5 linked regions of the Macaca fascicularis genome follow. The protein of the gene in region 2 purifies or fractionates together with the protein of the main gene of each other region. This does not show direct contact. Links are inferred from orthologs where the notes say so. Each region holds a gene or a part of one and is shown on either strand. Other genes may lie near its edges. The genes, in order: RAB7A, PDHA1, DLAT, OGDH and DLD.

What was found.
Region 1: the proteins of PDHA1 (region 2) and RAB7A fractionate together in Homo sapiens (co-fractionation; 3 studies listed by BioGRID, with this or other methods). This does not show direct contact. The link is inferred for Macaca fascicularis from reciprocal best matches to the Homo sapiens genes PDHA1 and RAB7A.
Region 3: the proteins of PDHA1 (region 2) and DLAT fractionate together in Homo sapiens (co-fractionation; 3 studies listed by BioGRID). This does not show direct contact. The link is inferred for Macaca fascicularis from reciprocal best matches to the Homo sapiens genes PDHA1 and DLAT.
Region 4: the proteins of PDHA1 (region 2) and OGDH fractionate together in Homo sapiens (co-fractionation; 3 studies listed by BioGRID). This does not show direct contact. The link is inferred for Macaca fascicularis from reciprocal best matches to the Homo sapiens genes PDHA1 and OGDH.
Region 5: the proteins of PDHA1 (region 2) and DLD purify together in Homo sapiens (affinity purification with mass spectrometry; 4 studies listed by BioGRID and IntAct, counting the BioPlex papers as one, with this or other methods). This does not show direct contact. The link is inferred for Macaca fascicularis from reciprocal best matches to the Homo sapiens genes PDHA1 and DLD.

Annotation. Positions count from the first base shown.
Region 1 is NC_088376.1:154,694,902-154,699,183, reverse strand, and holds the start of RAB7A (ras-related protein Rab-7a), read left to right. Parts: upstream 1-1,469; 5' UTR 1,470-1,672; intron 1,673-4,282.
Region 2 is NC_088395.1:19,221,778-19,225,207, forward strand, and holds part of PDHA1 (pyruvate dehydrogenase E1 component subunit alpha, somatic form, mitochondrial), read left to right. Parts: intron 1-440; coding exon 441-533; intron 534-1,613; coding exon 1,614-1,769; intron 1,770-1,942; coding exon 1,943-2,014; intron 2,015-3,430. UniProt on the Homo sapiens protein: The pyruvate dehydrogenase complex catalyzes the overall conversion of pyruvate to acetyl-CoA and CO(2), and thereby links the glycolytic pathway to the tricarboxylic cycle.
Region 3 is NC_088388.1:110,956,277-110,960,321, reverse strand, and holds the start of DLAT (dihydrolipoyllysine-residue acetyltransferase component of pyruvate dehydrogenase complex, mitochondrial), read right to left. Parts: upstream 2,803-4,045; 5' UTR 2,756-2,802; coding exon 2,477-2,755; intron 2,022-2,476; coding exon 1,920-2,021; intron 1,371-1,919; coding exon 1,246-1,370; intron 1,094-1,245; coding exon 940-1,093; intron 51-939; exon of another isoform or gene 1-50.
Region 4 is NC_088377.1:85,652,839-85,656,351, reverse strand, and holds part of OGDH (2-oxoglutarate dehydrogenase complex component E1), read left to right. Parts: intron 1-122; coding exon 123-302; intron 303-719; coding exon 720-872; intron 873-2,359; coding exon 2,360-2,462; intron 2,463-2,762; coding exon 2,763-2,891; intron 2,892-3,227; coding exon 3,228-3,378; intron 3,379-3,513. UniProt on the Homo sapiens protein: 2-oxoglutarate dehydrogenase (E1o) component of the 2-oxoglutarate dehydrogenase complex (OGDHC). Participates in the first step, rate limiting for the overall conversion of 2-oxoglutarate to succinyl-CoA and CO(2) catalyzed by the whole OGDHC.
Region 5 is NC_088377.1:149,413,440-149,417,467, forward strand, and holds the start of DLD (dihydrolipoyl dehydrogenase, mitochondrial), read left to right. Parts: upstream 1-1,217; 5' UTR 1,218-1,293; coding exon 1,294-1,332; intron 1,333-3,231; coding exon 3,232-3,310; intron 3,311-4,028. UniProt on the Homo sapiens protein: Lipoamide dehydrogenase is a component of the glycine cleavage system as well as an E3 component of three alpha-ketoacid dehydrogenase complexes (pyruvate-, alpha-ketoglutarate-, and branched-chain amino acid-dehydrogenase complex).

The sequences.
Region 1 (4,282 bases), on a different chromosome or scaffold from region 2:
GAAGGCTATTTCACTGAAAAAGTCACTTTAAAGTCAAGACCAGAGGAAAGTGAGCGAGTGGCCAAGCAGATACCTGGAGGAAGAGCTTTCCAGGTAGAGAGAAGTACAACTGCAAAAGTCTGATGTAGATGTGTGCCTTCTCCTTTCTTTTTTATTTATCTTGGAAGAGACAGTCTTGTTATGTTGCCCAAGCTGGTCTCGAACTCCTGGGCACATGCAAAGTGAAAGCAGAGAAAAGTAGACTTACCCCAGAAGCTGATGGTCCTGCAGTGTGCAAGGCCATTTCAGAATACACATAGAGAAAACAGGAGAATAGGTAGCGAGGGTTTTGCGGAAAGAGCCAATTTTAGCTGAAAAAGTAGGGGAAACCCCAGACATTGTGCCATCTCAGGGTTAGGACTGCTTGCCTAGATTTTGAGGTTTTTTTTTTTTTTTTTTTTTTCCCCAGACCCCTCAACTTCTGAGATCTCAATGGGAAGCTGCTGATCACCAGTTTTAGGTGTTTTTATCTATTGGGAGACTCTTTCCCTGGTTCTGACTGCAACCAATTATTATTTTAGAGAGATAGCTTAATCTGACCACCACGTCATGGTTGCCTCACATTGCTGGTGGGGGAGTGGCCCCACTCCTGCCCTGCTCAGGTCTAACTACTTACTTACTGTAACAATTGCAAGGTTTTTGGATGGAACAATTGAAAGAATGGAGTTTGCATGAACCAAATAAGAAAAGACTATTAGAGGGCATTGTTAAAGATGGAGACAAAAGTTCTGAGTGGATCCTGATGTGTTCAGATGGGGCTGGTGCTTGGGAGGCTGCTCTGTGCTTACAAGAAGAGTTCTACCAGGTCCATCTTTATCACATCTTCTTTAATACTAAGTTCAGAGAGGCTTTAGCTCATTTTCCATTTTCTCGTGCTGTCTCCTCTGCCAAAGTGTCTATTTCTCCTGTCTCTATTACTGAGTCACACAATTGCTGTAGTCATTTGCAGTCTACTAGAACGATAACACACATTGGCATCAGACAGACCTTGGTTCAAAACCCGGCTCCACCAGTTTCTGTGTTGAGCTAGACCAAGTGACCTGATATGTTCGGTCTCAGTTCCTTATTTGTAAAATGGTGATAATAATTTTTGGTTAGGTAGTTAAAGTAAGGATAAATGATGCCTTCCGAAGAAGGACACAATTGGAATGGCCAGTTTACCCCTTGACCTCTCTTCGGTGGCATTCTTTATTCTGGAGCAAGGAGGGATGGCTGAGGGAATCTGTCTGTGGGTCCAACATGGCGCCGTCCTGCTCCTTGTACAAGCCTCAAAGATGGGGACAACCGTTTGGGAGCAGACATGTTTGTAGCACGTGATCCAGGCTCTGTCCCAAGGCAGCCGGAACGTGACTCAAGGTTGAGGCGGGGCTCCTCCTCCGCACCCCGGCGTCGAGCGTCTCGTGACAGGTACTTCCGCTCGGGGCGGCGGCGGTGGCGGAAGTGGGAGCGGGCCTGGAGTCTTGGCCATAAAGCCTGAGGCGGCGGCAGCGGCGGAGTTGGCGGCTTGGAGAGCTCAGCAGAGTTCCCTGGAACCAGAACTTGGACCTCCCCTCTTCTGTCCTCCGTTGAGTCTCCTCCTCGGCGGGAGCCCTCGCGACGCGCCCGGCCCAGAGCCCCCAGCGCAGAGGCCGCGGTAAGCAGCGGGCCCAGCCCGGCCGGCGGCCTGGCCCCATCCCCCTCCTCAACTCCTCGGTCGCCAGGGCCTCGCGTCCTCCCTGTCCTCCTGGCAGGCTCCAGGCCCAGCCCTGGCCTCGCGGGCAAACTCGGCATCGCTCAGGCCCACGAAGCAGGCCAGGACCCCACCCGGGTTGGAGAGGTCGGAGGTCGTCGGGCGTGACCTCTGGCCGGGTTGCCGGCCCCGGCCGCCGGTCTCGGACGCTCTGTTTACTGTTGGCGTCGATCTCAGAGACCCAAGAGGGTTCATTGACTTGGACTGCCCTGCGCCGCGGCAGGACGCGCTAGGCGGTGGAGTTATTTAGCGTGGCGAGCAGGAGGGTGTCAGAGCCCACGCCGCCCGCCGCCGTGCCCACCTGGCGGGCATGGGTCACAGGCGCTGGGGGCCGAGCCGCGTTCCCATCCGGCTCTTCAGTTGAACAGCCTGACCCTGTTAGTGGGAGAGGTTCCCTGACGGCAACTGAGTCAAGGCGTGAGTCAGGTCACGTGCGCTGGGATCGCCTCAACACTTGTGTACATTGAGGCGCCTCTGGCGCTGGAAGACAGGGAGCTTTTTGTCCTAGGCATGTTACGGTAAATCCTGAGAGAAGTTTTTCAACTTAGTCGGGGAAAGATGGTAGTTGGATGTAGAGTTGTGTTTCCATTCGGACCGTGTTGGGGGCCTCTTTCTGCATTCATTTTACGCTTGATACCTAATGGGTCATAAGGGGAATATTGAGAATACTGACAGCAAATATTTGAGCGTTTGTTATATGCTAGGCAGCGTGGCAAGACCTTTTAACAGATCATTATGTTTAGTTCTTTGAACAACCCTCTAAAGTACCACTGTTGTGCCCACTTAACACAGTGGGAAATTGAACAGAGAGGCTAAACCATTTGACCAAGGTCACACAGCTAAGTTACGAAGCAAAGATGCAAGCCCAGGCAGTCAGACTCCAGAGCACTTTATTCAATTTGTAGGTTATACTGCTTTCACGTGCCCCTGAAGCGTGTGGTTTATCTTTTGCCACCTGGTATCTGTACCTCACTGCCTTCCACCACCTCCTTTCTTTCTGTTGATGTCGTTTGAAAGTCTTTCTGGTAGCATCAGTTCTCTCTTAAAGCCATAAGAAATGCCGTTTGCGGCTTATCACACATATTGTAGTGTAGTTGAATTAGGAGCTCTTGAATACTGGCGGGGTACTTAACTGAGGTTTGAAAAATTTTGCAGGTAGGCCTGGCAAAGCTGCCTAGCGAACCTTTCTTACAACCTTAGTTGATGGCTGTCCAGCCAGTTGGTTCTTCCCTATTCAAAATACTGCATCTTTGGTTTCCTAAAGAACAGGCTCTTGTCTCTTTCTTGTGACTTAAGCAGCTGATGAGGCACATGATTTCTCATCCATGGATTAATAAAGTCTCCTCTTAGTGTGTTTCTTTCTTCAAACCTGGGAAGGTTTGTTCAGATTTGGATTTAAGAACTGGAAGGTGAGTTAGGAGTGCTTCTCCTGAAGGGACTGGCTAAGTTAAAGCTTAGCGTTCACAATCCTGTTGTATTCAAATTTGTCTTTTTTATTTTTTTTTTAACTTTGCTACCCAGCCTAAAATATTTAAGTGAGTAATAAGTACTGTAGCTTTATATAATGTTTGAGTTTAGAGGAGAGTAATGATAGGCACCTTTTTATTCATTCATGAAGTATTTTGAGTATCCATTGAGTATCAGCAATGTATCAGGCGTTGTGGGATGTTGACTTAGGGAGATAGGCATGGTTCCTGTCCTCAGGGAATTTTTAAAAGGTGAATGATCTTGGCCAGAAATTCTATTGTGGAATGATTTGGTGGTAGAACTTGAGGCTTTTTGGAAAGAGTTATTTCTCATTTCTGCTGATGAATCCGTAGTAATCCAAAGGATGGTGTTCTGGCTAACTTTAAGGCTTTGTTAATTTTAACAACAGCATTTGTATGCTCTTCAGAGAGTGTAGAAGATAATATTACAGTTTCTAATTTATCACATCTTTTAAAGAGTAACCTTCAACACTCAACTTGTTTCTCCTTTTGCTCTGGTGGCATTTGTTTTATTTTATTTATTTTTTGACACGGAGTTTCTCTCTTGTTGCCCAGGCTGGAGTGCAATAGCGCGATCTCAGCTCACTGCAACCTCTGCCTCCCAGGTTCAAGCCATTCTCCTGCCTCAGCCTCCCGAGTGGCTGGGATTACAGGCATGTGCCACCATGCCCGGCTAATTTTGTATTTTTAATAGAGACAGGGTTTCTCCATGTTGGTCAGGCTGGTCTCGAACTCCCTACCTCAGGTGATCTGCCTGCCTTGGCCTCCCAAAGTACTGGGATTACAGGCATGAGCCACTGCGTCCGGCCGACTCTAGTGGCATTTTTTTGGTTCACTCGAGAGGTAGTCCATGTCACTACCATTACCTTGCACTGCAGTGTCTTTGAGCAAAGGTACATTTGGACATTTGGCATACTGGATTTTTTTCTTCAGCTGGCAAGAAAGTTTAATGTAGCACTGATATTGTGTCGGCCATAGTTTCAGTACCATTCTACATAGAAAAGCTGTGCTACCCTATCTCCCACAA
Region 2 (3,430 bases):
GCAATTCTCCTGCCTCAGCCTCCTAAGTAGCTGGGACTACAGTTAAGCGCCACCGTGCCCAGCCATTTTTTGTATTTTTAGTAGAGGCAGGGTTTCACCATCTTGTCCAGGATGGTCTCGATCTCTTGACCTCATGATCTGCCCAAAGTGCTGGGATTACAGGCGTGAGCCACCATGCCCGGCCACGTTTTATTTTTTAACTCTTGAATGCAGAAATGTTATTGCTTACTGGTTAAAATAGAACATAGTATTTATATATTACTTTACTGCTTCATTGAAAATATCGGGGGTGGGATAAACAGAGAGATGGGGTTGGAAGGAGAGTTTGTAGCAGCAGTGTAATTTCTGTGCCAGATTCTGACCAGGAGTTAAAATGCAGGGCATTGATATCTCCCCTCATGGATTTCTATGGTTCCTTTCTCGGTTGTCCTTAATGTTAGGTGCCCCTGGGCGCTGGGATTGCTCTAGCCTGTAAGTATAATGGAAAAGATGAGGTCTGCCTGACTTTATATGGCGATGGTGCTGCTAACCAGGTAATTATGTCTCTTAACTTTCCAATAACGGTCTTATTTTCAAAGTGTTTAATATTCACAGTTGAATTTCCAAAGCAGCAGCTTATTGCTTATTAGGTGAAATAGTAATTCCTATGGCTAGCTCAAATTTGGTTGACTTATGGCCAGATTAGAGAGTGACCTTTTAGCATTGTTTCACAAAAGACTTAGGGGGGCGCATTCCTGTGAAGGAGCTCACCTTTGCTCTATATCAGTGCTTGATAAAGGACCTCCCCTAACCTATTGCAAAATGATACAGACCCATTCTCTTGGATGTCCGCGCTGGCAGTGTCAAATTCGGGTAATAGCGTCTCAGTCCTAATTCAGTTTTTGTGCTTCTTTTTGTGCTTCTTTTGGTACCGAGTAATACCCAGTCTGTGGCCGGTACTCTGTGAAGCCCTGTTCTAGAGGCTGATTCTTAGGTGCTGGTTCACTCTGACTATCCAGTGGGCCCGATAGATTTCATACTGATCTTTTTTCCAGTGTGTTCCTTACTGCTAGCATGGCCCCAAAGAAACAAGTAGTAGTTGGTTTGTCATCTTTCTTAGTTGCAAGAGTATGATGCCTGCTGCTTCTTATCTGTCACCCACCCCGCTTTCCCTCACCATCCAAAGCTCGGTTTTTTGGTTGTTTTTTTTGTTTTGTTTTTGAGAGAGAGTCTTGCTCTGTTGCCCAGGCTGGAGCGCAGTGGCACGATCTCCACTCACTGCAAGCTCTGCCTCCCGGGTTCACGCCATTCTCCTGCCTCAGCCTCCCAAGTAGCTGGGACTACAGGCGCCTGCCACCATGCCCGGCTACTTTGTATTTTTAGTAGAGACGGGGTTTCACCGTGTTAGCCAGGACGGTCTTGATCTGCTGACCTCGTGATCCACCCTCCTCGGCCTCCCAAAGTGCTGGGATTACATGGCTGAGCCACCGTGCCCAGCCCAAAGCTCGGTTTTAGAAGAGGAGGCTTTCTGTGCTTTATGAAAGCTTTCTGTGCCAGGCAGAGCAGCAGCTGTTACAGATGATGGATCCTAGAGAAAGAAGCCAAATGAAACCCCTTTTCATAACTACTTCCAGGGCCAGATATTTGAAGCTTACAACATGGCAGCTTTGTGGAAATTACCTTGTATTTTCATCTGTGAGAATAATCGCTATGGAATGGGAACATCTGTTGAGAGAGCAGCAGCCAGCACTGATTACTACAAGAGAGGCGATTTCATTCCTGGGCTGAGAGTAAGGACACCTGTGGTGGGGCCGGGGCCAAGGCCAGGGGTATGTCCTTGTGCAGACCCTTGACAATCTTAGAAACATTGAAGAGTTTCGTTCTCAAACATAAGCAGGTGATGTGAAAGTAAAATGGTTTGGGGCAGCTGGATTCATGCTTCGCCCCTCCCGTTTATTAACAGGTGGATGGAATGGATATCTTGTGCGTCCGAGAGGCGACAAGGTTTGCTGCCGCCTATTGTAGATCTGGGAAGGTAAGACTCTAAAGGCCTCTGGGCTAATGACATTTATCTCTGGAAGTTCAAAGACTGCCTCCCGTGTGCCTGCTGAAGCTGTTAGTGGGTAGCTGATAATTGAGGTGCACAAGATGGAAGCAGAGTGAAGCAAGCAGGGCTCCTTTGGGTAGCTTGGTCTTGGTAGCTCACCTGCTGGGAAGCCCACATTTCTCTCATTTGGGGGAAGTCTGTCCTGGTGCTTCCTCTGCTTTCGCCTGTCTTCATCATGACAACTACACTGCCTTTTTGTTAGGTTAATTCTGTCCCTCCTCCCCACCCCCCATTAATCATGAGTCCCTTGAAGGAACAGATTGGGGATCCCCGTAGTGTCCAGCATAGAATGTCATGTATACAATAGGCATTTAATGTGTGTGTCTTACACAAACAGTATGGTTGAAGCTTGTAATCTTAGTCTTGCTCAGTCCTAAGGATCTTTCCCTTCAGTGTATGGCAGTGAGGGAGATGGTAACAGGGAGACTGGCCTAAAGAGGTTTCAGTTCCTTCAGCACTAGTATAGGCTTAGGAGGTTTGGGTGTTCTCCCTAAATTAGTGTTCCACAGCCCAGACACAAGGTTTCTGAAGTTGTCACTTCAGTGCCATACCATGTATGTTTGGGCAGTGATGCAAATGTCAGAAAGTGGGGAGACAGGGAAGTAAGGGTGGGATGTAGTAACATTAAATAAGAGCTAATGAGTAGAATGAACTAGAGCAGGACCAAGATGACAGCTTGGATACAATGGGCTGAGCAGTCTGTCAGGACCCTAAGGCTGGGAGTGCCAGGCCCTGAGTGATGGATATTGACCCCACCTCTCCCAATTCCTGAAAAGAATACATGCGGGCCAGCCCTGGCTGGAGACATGGTGATTTGTAGAATGTATGACTTCCCAAACACATAACCTTCACAATTCTGAGTTAGGTGTTACTGTTTTGCCCATTTTGCAGACAAGGAAACTGAGCCACAGAGCAGTTAAAGGTACATAGCTACTCTTATCATGGAGCCAGCTCCCCACTCGCCCGTTTTAACTACTGCACCAAACCAATCAAGGATCCTCAATGTTTCCCCATCCCTCAGTGTTCAGAGCCATCTCCTGGAAGTGGGCTAGTGTAGAATGAGCAAGCCACTTGGTGATAGACCCCAAGTGGTCATACTCCCAGCAGAGCCTCAGGGTTTGGGTAGCAGAGGTTGTTGGTGCCTGTCAACTTTGTTACACACTAGCAGGATCTGTGAAGTAGAAGTGGCTGCCAGCCCCACAACACACTACGAGAAAGGAGCATGAGATGGAAATCTGCCTAGCCAATAGCAGGAGGCTCTAGAACATGCTCAAAGCCTTTTTTTTTTTTTTTTTTTTTTTTTGAGACAGAGTCTCGCTCTGTCCCCCAGGCTGGAGTGCAGTG
Region 3 (4,045 bases), on a different chromosome or scaffold from region 2:
ACAATAAGCCCAAGCTACCTGTGGTGATCTCAAAGTGCGAGGAGATGTAGTCCAGACCAAAACTGAATTAGGCCTTCCCTTCTTCTTGGTGGTGTTCTTCAGTAAGATAATCTGGACTGGCCCCTGTGTTTGCTTCCCTACCTGCTGCGGCCCCATTTGATCAAGAGACCCTGGAAGTATCGGAAATTCAGAATCCAAGATTGTGTAAATAAAGTTTTTTTCTAGGTGGAAAAAAAAATATGATCCCCAGTGTTAGAGATGGGGTCTGGTGGGAGGTGTCTGGGTGTTGGAGGAGGATCCCTCATGAATGGCTTGGTGCATGCCCCATGGTAATGAGTTAAGGGGAAATCTGATTGCTATGAAGAGCCTGGTACCCACTCCCCTCTGTCTCTTGCACCCTCTCTCATTATGTGACACACCACCCTTCCCCTTTCCCTTCCACCTTCCACCATGATTGTAAGCTTCCTGAGGCCACAAGAGAAACAGATGCTGGCGCCGTGCTTCTTGTACAGCCTGCAGAACCATGAGCCAAATAAACCTTTTTTTCTTTACAAATTACCCAGCCCTAAGTATTTCTTTATGCCAGAGTAAAACAGACTAACACAGCCTACTATAAACTCTAATTATACAGGGAATAGATGTTAGTAAAAATCATCCTCAAAATCTGTAATGTAATGTTCTTGAATGAAAAGTGCCACGAATTACCCTGTGTACTACACTGAGGCTGAGAAAGGTTACAGGAACTGTTCAAGTTCTTATAACTGGAAAGAACAACCAGGAAGAAAAGTTGTCAATCTTCATGTTTAAATTTCTATATACTCCCAAATGACAAGACCTAACTAACCACATTTAAAGTCAGTTTCCAAGATGTAGTAGCCATCTATGAAAAAAAGTAAGTAATAAATCACCTAGAGCAAACACTCAAAGGCTGAGCCTCACCTGCATGTGAGGGGGATATGAGCTACCAGGAGCCTGAGCAGAAGGTATAGGTGGCGAAGCAGTGGCAGCAGGGGTTGGTGCTGGGGCCGCCTGTGGGGTAGGTGCTGGCGAGGAATCCAATGTATAATTTTTAAAAGCCTCAATATCTTCAGGCCTAAGGAAGAGAAAGAATGCATAAATATAATGGGCAGATTCAACTTTCACAAAAGTAGTCTTAAAAAATAGTCTTTAACTCCTAATTCTCAATTCTGGGTAAAATACTCCACCAAGCAATGAAGTTCCATAAATTATGAGTGCACTACTCACTTGCCAACTGTGATACAGATGATCGCTCCAATGGGAACATCCCTGGTACCTTCAGCAACAAGTATCTTTGCCATATAACACTCCTCCAGGCTCTCAAATCCAACAGTGGCTTTATCAGTTTCAACCTTTTAACACAAAAAGCAGCAGCTCAGCTTTATACTGTCGGTATGTAGTTTATTAGCTTGTGTCTAGAATTTTTTTTTTCTTGAGACAGAGTCTCACTCTGTCGCCAAGGCTGCAGTGCAGTGGTGCAATCTCGGCTCACTGCAACCTCCCCTTCCCACGTTCAAGCGATTCTCCTGCCTCAGTCTACCGAGTAGCTAGGATTACAGGCAGAGGCCGCCATGCCCAGCAGATTTTTGTATTTTTAGCAGAGACGGGGTTTCACCATGTTGGCCAGCTTGGCCTCTGTGTCTAGAATGATACAGTTCATGTGACGATAAGGCCACTACGACAGATTTGAAAGAAGAAATTACTTTAGAAACGCGTTGGCTAAGTATCAGTTTGGCCAGCTGCTGGCAACTTATCCAACCAATCTTGTCTAACATCAAGTTGTGAAAAACACTTCAGTTTCTTAAACAAAGGGGTAACTACACATCCAGAAAGTCAATGTTCAGTCAATTCGGCAAAGCCAGTCTCTTCGAACTCATCTCCGTTATTTTAAAACAACTTACTTCTGCAATTAGGTCACCTTCGTTGATTTTGTCCCCCTCTTTTTTTTCCCAACGGGCTATAGTGCCTGCCTGCATTGTGGGGGAAAGAGAAGGCAATGGAACCTGGAAGAGAAAAAGAAGAAACATTAAATTTTTAAAGGGCTACCTAACTCTCAGTCTGGCTTAAGATTTCATTCAATTCAATTTCATGCAAAGTGTATCCAGTTCCATTACACACTGGGAACTAGGGATACCAAGGCAGTTTCTGCCCATGAGAAGTTAGTAATTTCCAGTGACAGGCTTTCTGCTCCACAGTCCTACGGGTCTCACAAAGCATGAACCTCGGCAGATAATTGCATACAGCCCCAGTCTTGAAGTTCCCCTTTCAACGGAATAGTTTCAACGGAATAGATCATGAGAGGGAAGCTAAGGAACCAAAGCTGACTACTGGACAAAGGACGAAAGCAGATACTGGGAATGGTTGGAGGATCAATGAGGCCTCTCAAGGAGGATCCTGCAGGCATCCAGTCAGCTCTGAAGGACAACGGAGATCCGAGAAGGGCGGGTCTAGGGCTCACCTTCTGATGCGGGGGAAGACTGTAACAGCGGCGGCCGGGCGACCCCAAAAGCTGCAGCAGTAGGCGGTTCCGCGGCGTGGCCCCAGAGCTGGGGGTCCAGCCGCACAGTGCCCGGACCCCTCCATACCCTGTAGTCGCGCTGTTGCGACGAGCCGGAGCCGGGCCAATTCGCGAGGACACTCGTGGAGTTCCGGGTACCTCCTGCAAGGCCGTCCACCGAGCCTCGAGTCCCGCCCATGGGGCTACATTCTGGGCCCGTCGCGCACAGACGCGCCACATAGTGCCACCAACCCCCCACACCCCAACACCAACGCCGTCTCCGGAGTGACCTCTCCAACAGCAGCGCGGCTTTGCCGTCAGCCACGCCGCACAGCCGCACGTTGTCGTAAAATGGTTCCCGCAGGTTTACTCCACCCGCTCCCCAGGCCAGAAATGCGCGGCACGCAGGCTTTTCCTCCCCTGAGCGGGGACGAGGGGCACTCACGCGGCAGGGGCGTTCCAGAGGGGCCTGTGCGGGCGCAAGTTGGGGACAAATAACAGACGGAAAGGGGTGGAAAGTGGTAGGGTCCTAGGGGAGGCATCCGAAAGGGTGAGACGGGGCCTAAGACACGGGAAGGGCACGACTGAGAGGGAGGGGCCTAAAAAGGCACCGAGACGAGGGTTAATTGCGGCCGAGTGGCCTGAGAGTCTGGGCCGAGGGGCGTGGCCAAGCTTTCTGGAAAAGCTGGAAGTGAGCCCGGGAACTGGCTAGGGCAGTGGGAGCCTCAGGCCAAAGGGCGGGGGTCTTGAAGCGCTGGGGTGGTGAAGGAGCCGGGAACCGCCCGCGAGGAAATCGAGGGGTCCAGCGTGGTGACCTCTGCTTCTGCGCATCCGAAGGGGGAAGGACTGGGCCCCGCCCCGCGCAGGCTGTACTGGTTGCAAAGATTTCATTTCAGGTTTGTAGCCCAAGTGGAAAGTGGAGTGAACAGGTGTTCCATCCAGCCAGGTGGTACGAAAGGCAGCCCAGAGGAAGAAACATTCCCACATTCCTGTATACTGTAGCAAGATTAAGCATATTCCCTGTATAAAGATACAGGTTTACAAAACAGGTTTGTGTTACCCCCTAACACCATAGAATTCTTTTAAGTAACCAAAAGCTTCGTTATGTTTCAAATGTTTGCTACCTAAACTTAACTGTAAGCTGTTGAAGGCAGGAAGAGTGCCTGCGTGGTTCTTCCATGTAGCCTCAGAGCTTAGTATCCACTAAATAGCGGGGGCTGATTGTGTCTTTGGAATCAATGAACAAAAAGTCACCTAGACGTTTTGTTAGGTACGCTTCTCTTGTAAAGTTGTCTTTTAAATAGGAAACATATCGTTTCTGAACTGAAGGTGACATTAAATAAGGAGGAAGCATATGCTGTGTATCACCGCCTCCCCAGTGTACAGATGGTTAGAGAACACCAAGAACACAAGAAGAAGTTGGAGGAAAAAATTGTTTAAAACAAGATTTTAGCCAGGAGCGGTGGTGCATGCCTGTAGTCCCAGCAATACTTGAGAGGCTGAGGTTGGGGAATCGCTTGAGCCCAAAAG
Region 4 (3,513 bases), on a different chromosome or scaffold from region 2:
TGGGGCACATACTCAGAGTAGCCAGGCGGCAAGTGCACGCCATGCCGGGCCTCGGCCCCACCTTCTGGTCCCTGTGCCGGCTGTGCCAGGTGCCCTCTTGCTAGGCTACATGTTCCTTGCAGATCGGCTTCACCACCGACCCTCGGATGGCCCGCTCCTCCCCCTACCCCACCGATGTGGCCCGAGTGGTGAATGCTCCTATTTTCCACGTGAACTCAGATGACCCCGAGGCTGTCATGTACGTGTGCAAAGTGGCGGCCGAGTGGAGGAGCACCTTCCACAAGGACGTGGTCGTCGATTTGGTGAGTGACTCCAGGGACAGCACGTCCTGGGCAGATCATCTGACCCACCCCTGTTGCCCTCGGCACCCTTGTGTCCCAAGGAGAGGAGCTTGTTTAGATGAGTCACCTCAGGGCTCTCTACTGCCAGGCCTCATGCAGGTTCCTTTGAGCTCCAAATTGTTCAGGCCTGTGAGCACCAAGGAATGCTTCCCAGGCAGGAGCTGTGGTGGTGAGGAGGACCATTCCTCACTGATAGAGCAGCTGTACTGTGTAGGAGAGATACACAGAATCCTAATTCTAGAGAAGGTAAATTCCAGGGCAGGTGTGAGGCGTGAAGAACATGACCATCACCTAGGAGAGATGGGGTAGGTTCCCCAACCGCACTTCTTCCCAAGGGGCCACCCCTTGTCTCTGACATCCTCTCACTGCTCTGAGCAGGTGTGTTACCGGCGCAACGGCCACAACGAGATGGATGAGCCCATGTTCACGCAGCCGCTCATGTACAAGCAGATCCGCAAGCAGAAGCCCGTGTTACAGAAGTACGCCGAGCTGCTGGTGTCGCAGGGTGTGGTCAACCAGCCCGAGTATGAGGTATGTCCCTGCGGCTCTGTCCCAGTGCGCCTTTCCAGAGCCGGGGATGACTAGAAAAGGTGGGCCACAGGGCCAGTTCTCACTGTTGCAAGTTATGAGGATACACGTGAGAGGATGTGAAATATTTACAACTACAGCATTTCAATGCATAACTTTTTGGAGAATCTGGGCCACTGAGATGCTTTGTAAAGGAAGTGGGCCTTAAACAGTGTTTTGGGGAAGAGAAGGGGATGTTTTCAGGTTGAGGTAGTAGTGGCCCAGTAGGTTTTCTCAGATTTCACAGATCGTGCAGGGGTGGGAGGTAGGTGGTGGATCCAGCTTAGTAAGGGGCCTCTTGTAATCTGGATAGTAAGTGCTGGTTTGTTGTGAGTGGGAAGGCCAAGCAGCTGCCCTAGAGAGGGAGAGGATGGGTGTGAGAAGCTATGTCTGAGCATGGGAACAGGACAGATCCCAGGTCAGAACAACCTGATAACCTGTAGCCTATCCTGGAGACAGAGCTTTGTGGCCCAAACCTCCTTGGGACTGTGCTGGGAACCATGAGAGCTCAACCAGTTCTTTTTTTTTTTTTTTTTTTGAGACAGAGTCTAGCCTTGTCACCCATGCTGGAGTGCAGTGGTGTGATCTCAGCTCACTGCAACCTCCACCTCCTTGGTTCAAGCAATTTTCATGCCTCAGCATCCCAAGTAGCTGGGATTACAGGTGCAAACCACCTCACCCAGCTAGTTTGTGTATTTTTAGTAGAAACAGGGTTTCCCCACGTTGGCCAGGCTGGTCTCGAACTCCTGACCTCAAGTGATCCACCTGTCTTGGCCTCCCAAAGTGCTGGGATTATAGGTATGAGCCACTGCGCCTGACCTGGACCAGTTCTTAAGAAAAAATGTGGTGGGCTGGGCGTGGTGGCTCACGCCTGTAATTGCAGCACTTTGGGAGGCTGAGGCAGGTGGATCACGAGGTCAAGAGATCAAGACCATCCTGGCCAACATGGTGAAACCCCATCTTTACTAAAAATGCAAAAATGAGCTGGGCATGGTGGCATGCACTTGTAGTCCCAGCTACTTGGGAGGCTGAGGCAGGAGAATCGCTTGAACCCGGGAGGTGGAGGTTGCAGTGAAGCAAGATCGTGCCACTGCGCTCCAGCCTGGTGACAGAGCAAGACTCCGTCACCAAAAAAAAGACAAAAAAAATGTGAAGGGTTAGGGGTTCAAACTCTGAGCAGAATCTCTACCCAGCAAATGTGAGGAAGAAACTTCTGGGATGAAAAGAATAAAATCTTAGACAGGTGTTATGCCTATTGAGAAGGAGCAGGCCCAGAGGCTGAGATGTTTCGTACCCACGAAGTGTGGGGGTATGGGTGGGCATGCATGGGAGTTGTGCCAGGGTATGGTTGGGCTTGCATGGTGGCTGTCAGAAAGTGTGGGGGTACGGGTGGGCGTGTGCAGTAGTCATGCCCTGTGCCAGTCACTGCTGTGTTGTGTCCAACCCTGCAGGAGGAAATTTCCAAGTATGATAAGATCTGTGAGGAAGCTTTTGCCAGATCTAAAGATGAGAAGATCTTGCACATTAAGCACTGGCTGGACTCTCCTTGGCCTGGTGAGTGAAGAACCAGTGCCACAAATAAGCTCCTTTGAGGATCTGATGTAACGAGGCATCCTCCTCCCGGAAAACATTCATGCTTTCCACTTTGTACCCACAGTGCACAGTTGTGTGCACCATTTCAGCCAAACCCCTGCAGACCCTGGACCCAGACCCCTGCACTCATGTTTTCTGGGGAACACAGTGTGAGCTACATTGTCTCTCACCCTGCTTCTCCCCCACATCATGTGTCTGCCATGGTGTGGTCCCTGGAAAAGTAGAGCAGATGTCATGCCTCAGTTGTTCTTCCTCTCCTAGGCTTCTTCACCCTGGACGGGCAGCCCAGGAGCATGTCCTGCCCCTCCACGGGTCTGACGGAGGATATTCTGACACACATCGGGAACGTGGCTAGCTCTGTGCCTGTGGAAAACTTTACTATTCATGGAGGTAACAAGCTCTGTGCTGACCTGTGGAAATGTTGGGCCCAGACTGTCTAGTACTGTGACCTTGACCCCCATCATGTGTCCTACAGAGACTCCCTTCCTGCCCTGCTCCAAGCCTCTGGGGTGGTTGGATGGAGCCACCTCTCTCACTCCCTGCCCTTAGCACCATCCTACACTTCCTCAGTGGTAAAGGAGACTGAGGTCACAGCTTTTCCAGCATGTCAGGAACCCAGAAACTATGAGTGAAGAAGGCTCCACTCTTGCCATGGGCACACTGAGAAGCAAGGCAGACATGTGCAGGCAGGGCCTGCAGCAGCTGGTGAGAGCTGTCTCTCTGCAGGGCTGAGCCGGATCTTGAAGACTCGTGGGGAAATGGTGAAGAACCGGACTGTGGACTGGGCTCTGGCAGAGTACATGGCGTTTGGCTCGCTCCTGAAGGAGGGTATCCACATCCGACTGAGCGGCCAGGACGTGGAGCGGGGCACATTCAGGTAACGTTCTGGGCAGTTTTGTTTGCCCTCCAAAGAGTAGGAAATGCAAAGGGAGGGGTTCTGGTGTTTCTTTTTCAGAAGGCAGTTACTGAGTCCCATTGCTGTCAGGCTGAAAACCTCTCCCTCATTTGCTGT
Region 5 (4,028 bases), on a different chromosome or scaffold from region 2:
GCCAGCAATGCCGTCTCTATAACAAACACTAAATATTACTCATATCTAAACCTGAACAAAAATAGGCAGTAATTTCTAACCAGTGTTTAGACCAGCACAAGGCCTGGGTGGTAGACTTTCAATAAATGTAGAATTAAGTTTATTCACACTATTTAGAGTTATGGAAGGCAAGAATCAGACCTTAGACTTTCATGCTCAATCTTGAAGACAGTGTTTTTCTTTTTTTTTTTTTTTTTTTTTGAGACGGAGTCTCGCTCTGTCACCCAGGCTGGAGTGCAGTGGCCGGATCTCAGCTCACTGCAAGCTCCGCCTCCCGGGTTCACGCCATTCTCCGGCCTCAGCCTCCCGAGTAGCTGGGACTACAGGTGCCCGCCACCTCGCCCGGCTAGTTTTTTTTGTATTTCTTAATAGAGACGGGGTTTCACCGTGTTAGCCAGGATGGTCTGGATCTCCTGACCTCGTGATCCACCCGTCTCGGCCTCCCAAAGCGCTGGGATTACAGGCTTGAGCCACCGCGCCCGGCCGAAGAGAGTGTTTTTCAACCCTTTCAACCGATTATCTCTCAAAACCTAAAATCTCATCCACCATCCCACTCTGTTTTACCGGGCAGATGTGTTTCTCAACCAAAGAAATAGAAGATAGTGTGTTTTCTACCTATTGTCAGTTAGCTAATTAGAGCAGGATGCTGGCGATGCCAAAATCTGTAGCCCCATCCCTTATATGGCACTTGAGGGGAGCGAGTATAAAGCAGTAGTTAAGACCAAAGGTTTTGGCCTTGGGGCTGCAGTTATCTCTCCTTTTCAAGACCTTGGGGTCAATGTTTAACCTCTCTGGGCCTCATCCAAGAAATGGAAATACTAGCAATACTCCATATGGTTGTTGCAAGGATGAAATCTCTGTAGAAAGTGCGGAGGAATGCCTAGCACAACCAAGAGCTTGTCAAACTTGTCACGCTTTACTGTCTGTAGCGTGCATTAGGCAAACGATAGTTTTATTTGTTTATTTCATCTTCCAAGTATAAGAATACATTGTAGCTCGACATTTTGACACCGCCCCTAAGTCTTTCCCACCACCACCCCCGCTGCGACAAAGCACTACGCTCCTTACGACAGCGTACGACGCCTAGCCTGACAGGAACACCTCTTACGGTAGAACCGCGCGGGCCAATCGCGCGGCTCCCGGGCGAAAACGTAACTGCGCCTGTGCATGCGCAGGGCGGGGAGACCTTGGTGAGGCGGCGGAGGCGCCCAGCGGAGGTGAAAGCATTGGCGGAAGGGAAGATACAGCGGAAGAATGCAGAGCTGGAGTCGTGTGTACTGCTCCTTGGCCAAGGTGAGGGCCGAGTAGGTGGGGTCGTGCTGAGCCAGAGGCACGGAAGGTCCCGCTCTGTGGGTCCGGGACGCGGCCTAAGCCCGTTGGCCTGGCGGAGCCCAGGCGCCTGTCCCTCACCACCCCTGGCCCCGCCTCTGCACCGGCTCAGCCCGGCCCTAGGCTCCGAGGTAGCAGCTTCTCCTGCGGCGGCAGCAGGCGAGGGACGGGCCTGGGCCCAGGCTGTGGCGAGTCCTTTCAGGTTGTGTGACGGCCGGCGGTTACACATGCCACACCCCCAAGCCTGGGCCGAGGGCCATCCCGGTCACACAGAGGCCTCTACCTTGGAGGAAGTGTAAGCCACCCACGTCCCGTATAGTCTGGCTCTTTATACCCTCTGCCTTTTTCTCATCCTAATTCTGACCCCTGAGTGGCCTCATTTTATGCAGTGGGCAGGTAACCCTGGGGTCACTTCTTGAATGGTTCAGACCCAGTCAGCTCCAACAGAAAGCCCTCGGAATTCCCCTAAGGTCTTGTCAGTGTTGGCAGCTTTCAGCTGGTGTTCATTGCCATCTCTCAGGTCTTTCTGGATATTTAAATCTTTAATTGCAGTAGGTTATCAGAACAACTTTCCTTTTTAACCTGCCTGCCAGACACAGCCAAATTGTGTGTATGTGAGACCGTGGCCGGGTACTATATTGGTGGAGACCTCAAAAATAATATAGCAATCAAACCCCTTTGTTTCAGAGATGAGGAACCTGCGTTCCCAAAAATTAATGTAACATTCTATAAGTCATGCTTTTAGGGAGCGGCGGAGGTGGGACTAAAACTCTAAGATTGACAATCGGCTGCTCTTTGGGTTTGCTGTCCTGACCTCAAGTGTTAAGAGTTGCCTTGGAGTAGTTTTGTCACTGCTGCCCATTTTCCTACTGTGATAGAAGCAGGGACTGTTTGCTTTCTTTCTTTCTGCCTCATTGCCCTTAGGAAATGGTAGCCATCCATATATAGAGATTAGGGAGATGATGAGTTTTATCAAACTGTCGTAGCTCCAGAACGTAAGTACACTACTTTGCATTTTCCTAAGTTACCTTGTCTAATTTGCTATTCCTAGTTGATGGCTCAGGAACATCTTCATAGATGGTTCTAAGTAAATATGGACTATATATACATGCTGGCTTAAAGTTAGGAAACAAAAATTACAGGTAAAAGGATTATCATGTATAGATTATTCAAGTATTTAAGTTAGAACTTCCAGAGCTTTATTCATTTATTTATTTTGAGACGGAGTCTCACTCTGACGTCCAGGCTAGAGTGCAGTGGTGCGATCTCGGCTTACTGCATCCTCCGCCTCCCGGGTTCAAGCGATTCTCCTGCCTCAGCCTCCCGAGTAGCTGGGATTACAGGCGCCCGCCTCTATACCTGGCAAATTCTCTTGTATTTTTAGTAGAGACGGGGCTTCACCATGTTGGCCAGGCTGGTCTGGAACTCCTGACCTCAGGTGATCCGCCCACTTCAGCCTCCCAAAGTGTTGAGATTACAGGCGTGAGCCACCACGGCTGGCTCAGAGCTTTATGACATTAAAATGATCCCTGGAACTAATAATTAGCCATGTTTTCTGAAAATTGAATAAAAATACCATTGAATACATTTTTAAAATTAAGTATGAGATGGTTTGTTGACTATTCATAATAAAAAGATGGGTGTGGCAAGCTGAGACTGAAAAGTTCAAATGATTAGTTATCGTCAAAGAGTTATCGTCAAAGAGGGAAAATTGATCTGTAACTTCTGTGTGGCAATGGAAGAAGATACACTAATAATCCTTGCTTGATACATTTGCCAAAAATTGTTCTGTTTTCATCAGCCTTAAGTAGTTCTATGTTTTGAATTCATATCTTACATAGTAGGAACATTTTCTTTTTCTAGAGGGGCCATTTCAATCGAATATCTCATGGCCTACAGGGACTTTCTGCAGTGCCTCTGAGAACTTACGCAGATCAGCTGAGTAAGTACTTAAGTAAAACATTTTTTTCATCACGTTAGTTGACAGTTCATTTTTGTTTCTATGTAAAAGTAAGTGAATATTGGAATAACTTATGTTAAGTGTCTTATAGTTCATTTGTTTATGTATTTATTCGTTTGAATGTGTGTTGAGCTAGTGTGTTCCAGGCGGTGAACAAGGTAAAACCCTGCTCTTGTGAAACTTGTAATTTGGTGATAAAAGACAGACAATATATAAGTAACGGATAAATATTTTGGGAAGTAACTGACAATTAAAGCAGGTGATAGGGAGAAAGAGAGATAATTTTAGATACAGTGTCAGGAAAGGCCTTTTTGAGGAGATGATGTCTGGGCTGGATCCTTGCTTTACAGCAAGCCAATATCACCTATGCAACGAACCCCCCTCACAAAAAAAACTTTTCCTCTTCACAACAATTCTCCTGCAAATCACCTTAATTCTGACATTCATGACCACAGAACTAATTATATTCTACATTCTATTTGAAACCACCCTTATCCCCACCCTAATTATCATTACTAAATGAGGTAGCCAAGCAAAACGCCTTAACGCAAGCACATACTTTCTATTCTACACACTAACTGGCTCTCTACCCCTACTCATCATACTAAGTCACACCTACAACAACACAGGCTCATTAAACATCACACTACTAACACTCACAGACCAAAAACTAACAACCACCTGGTCCCACAACTTTACC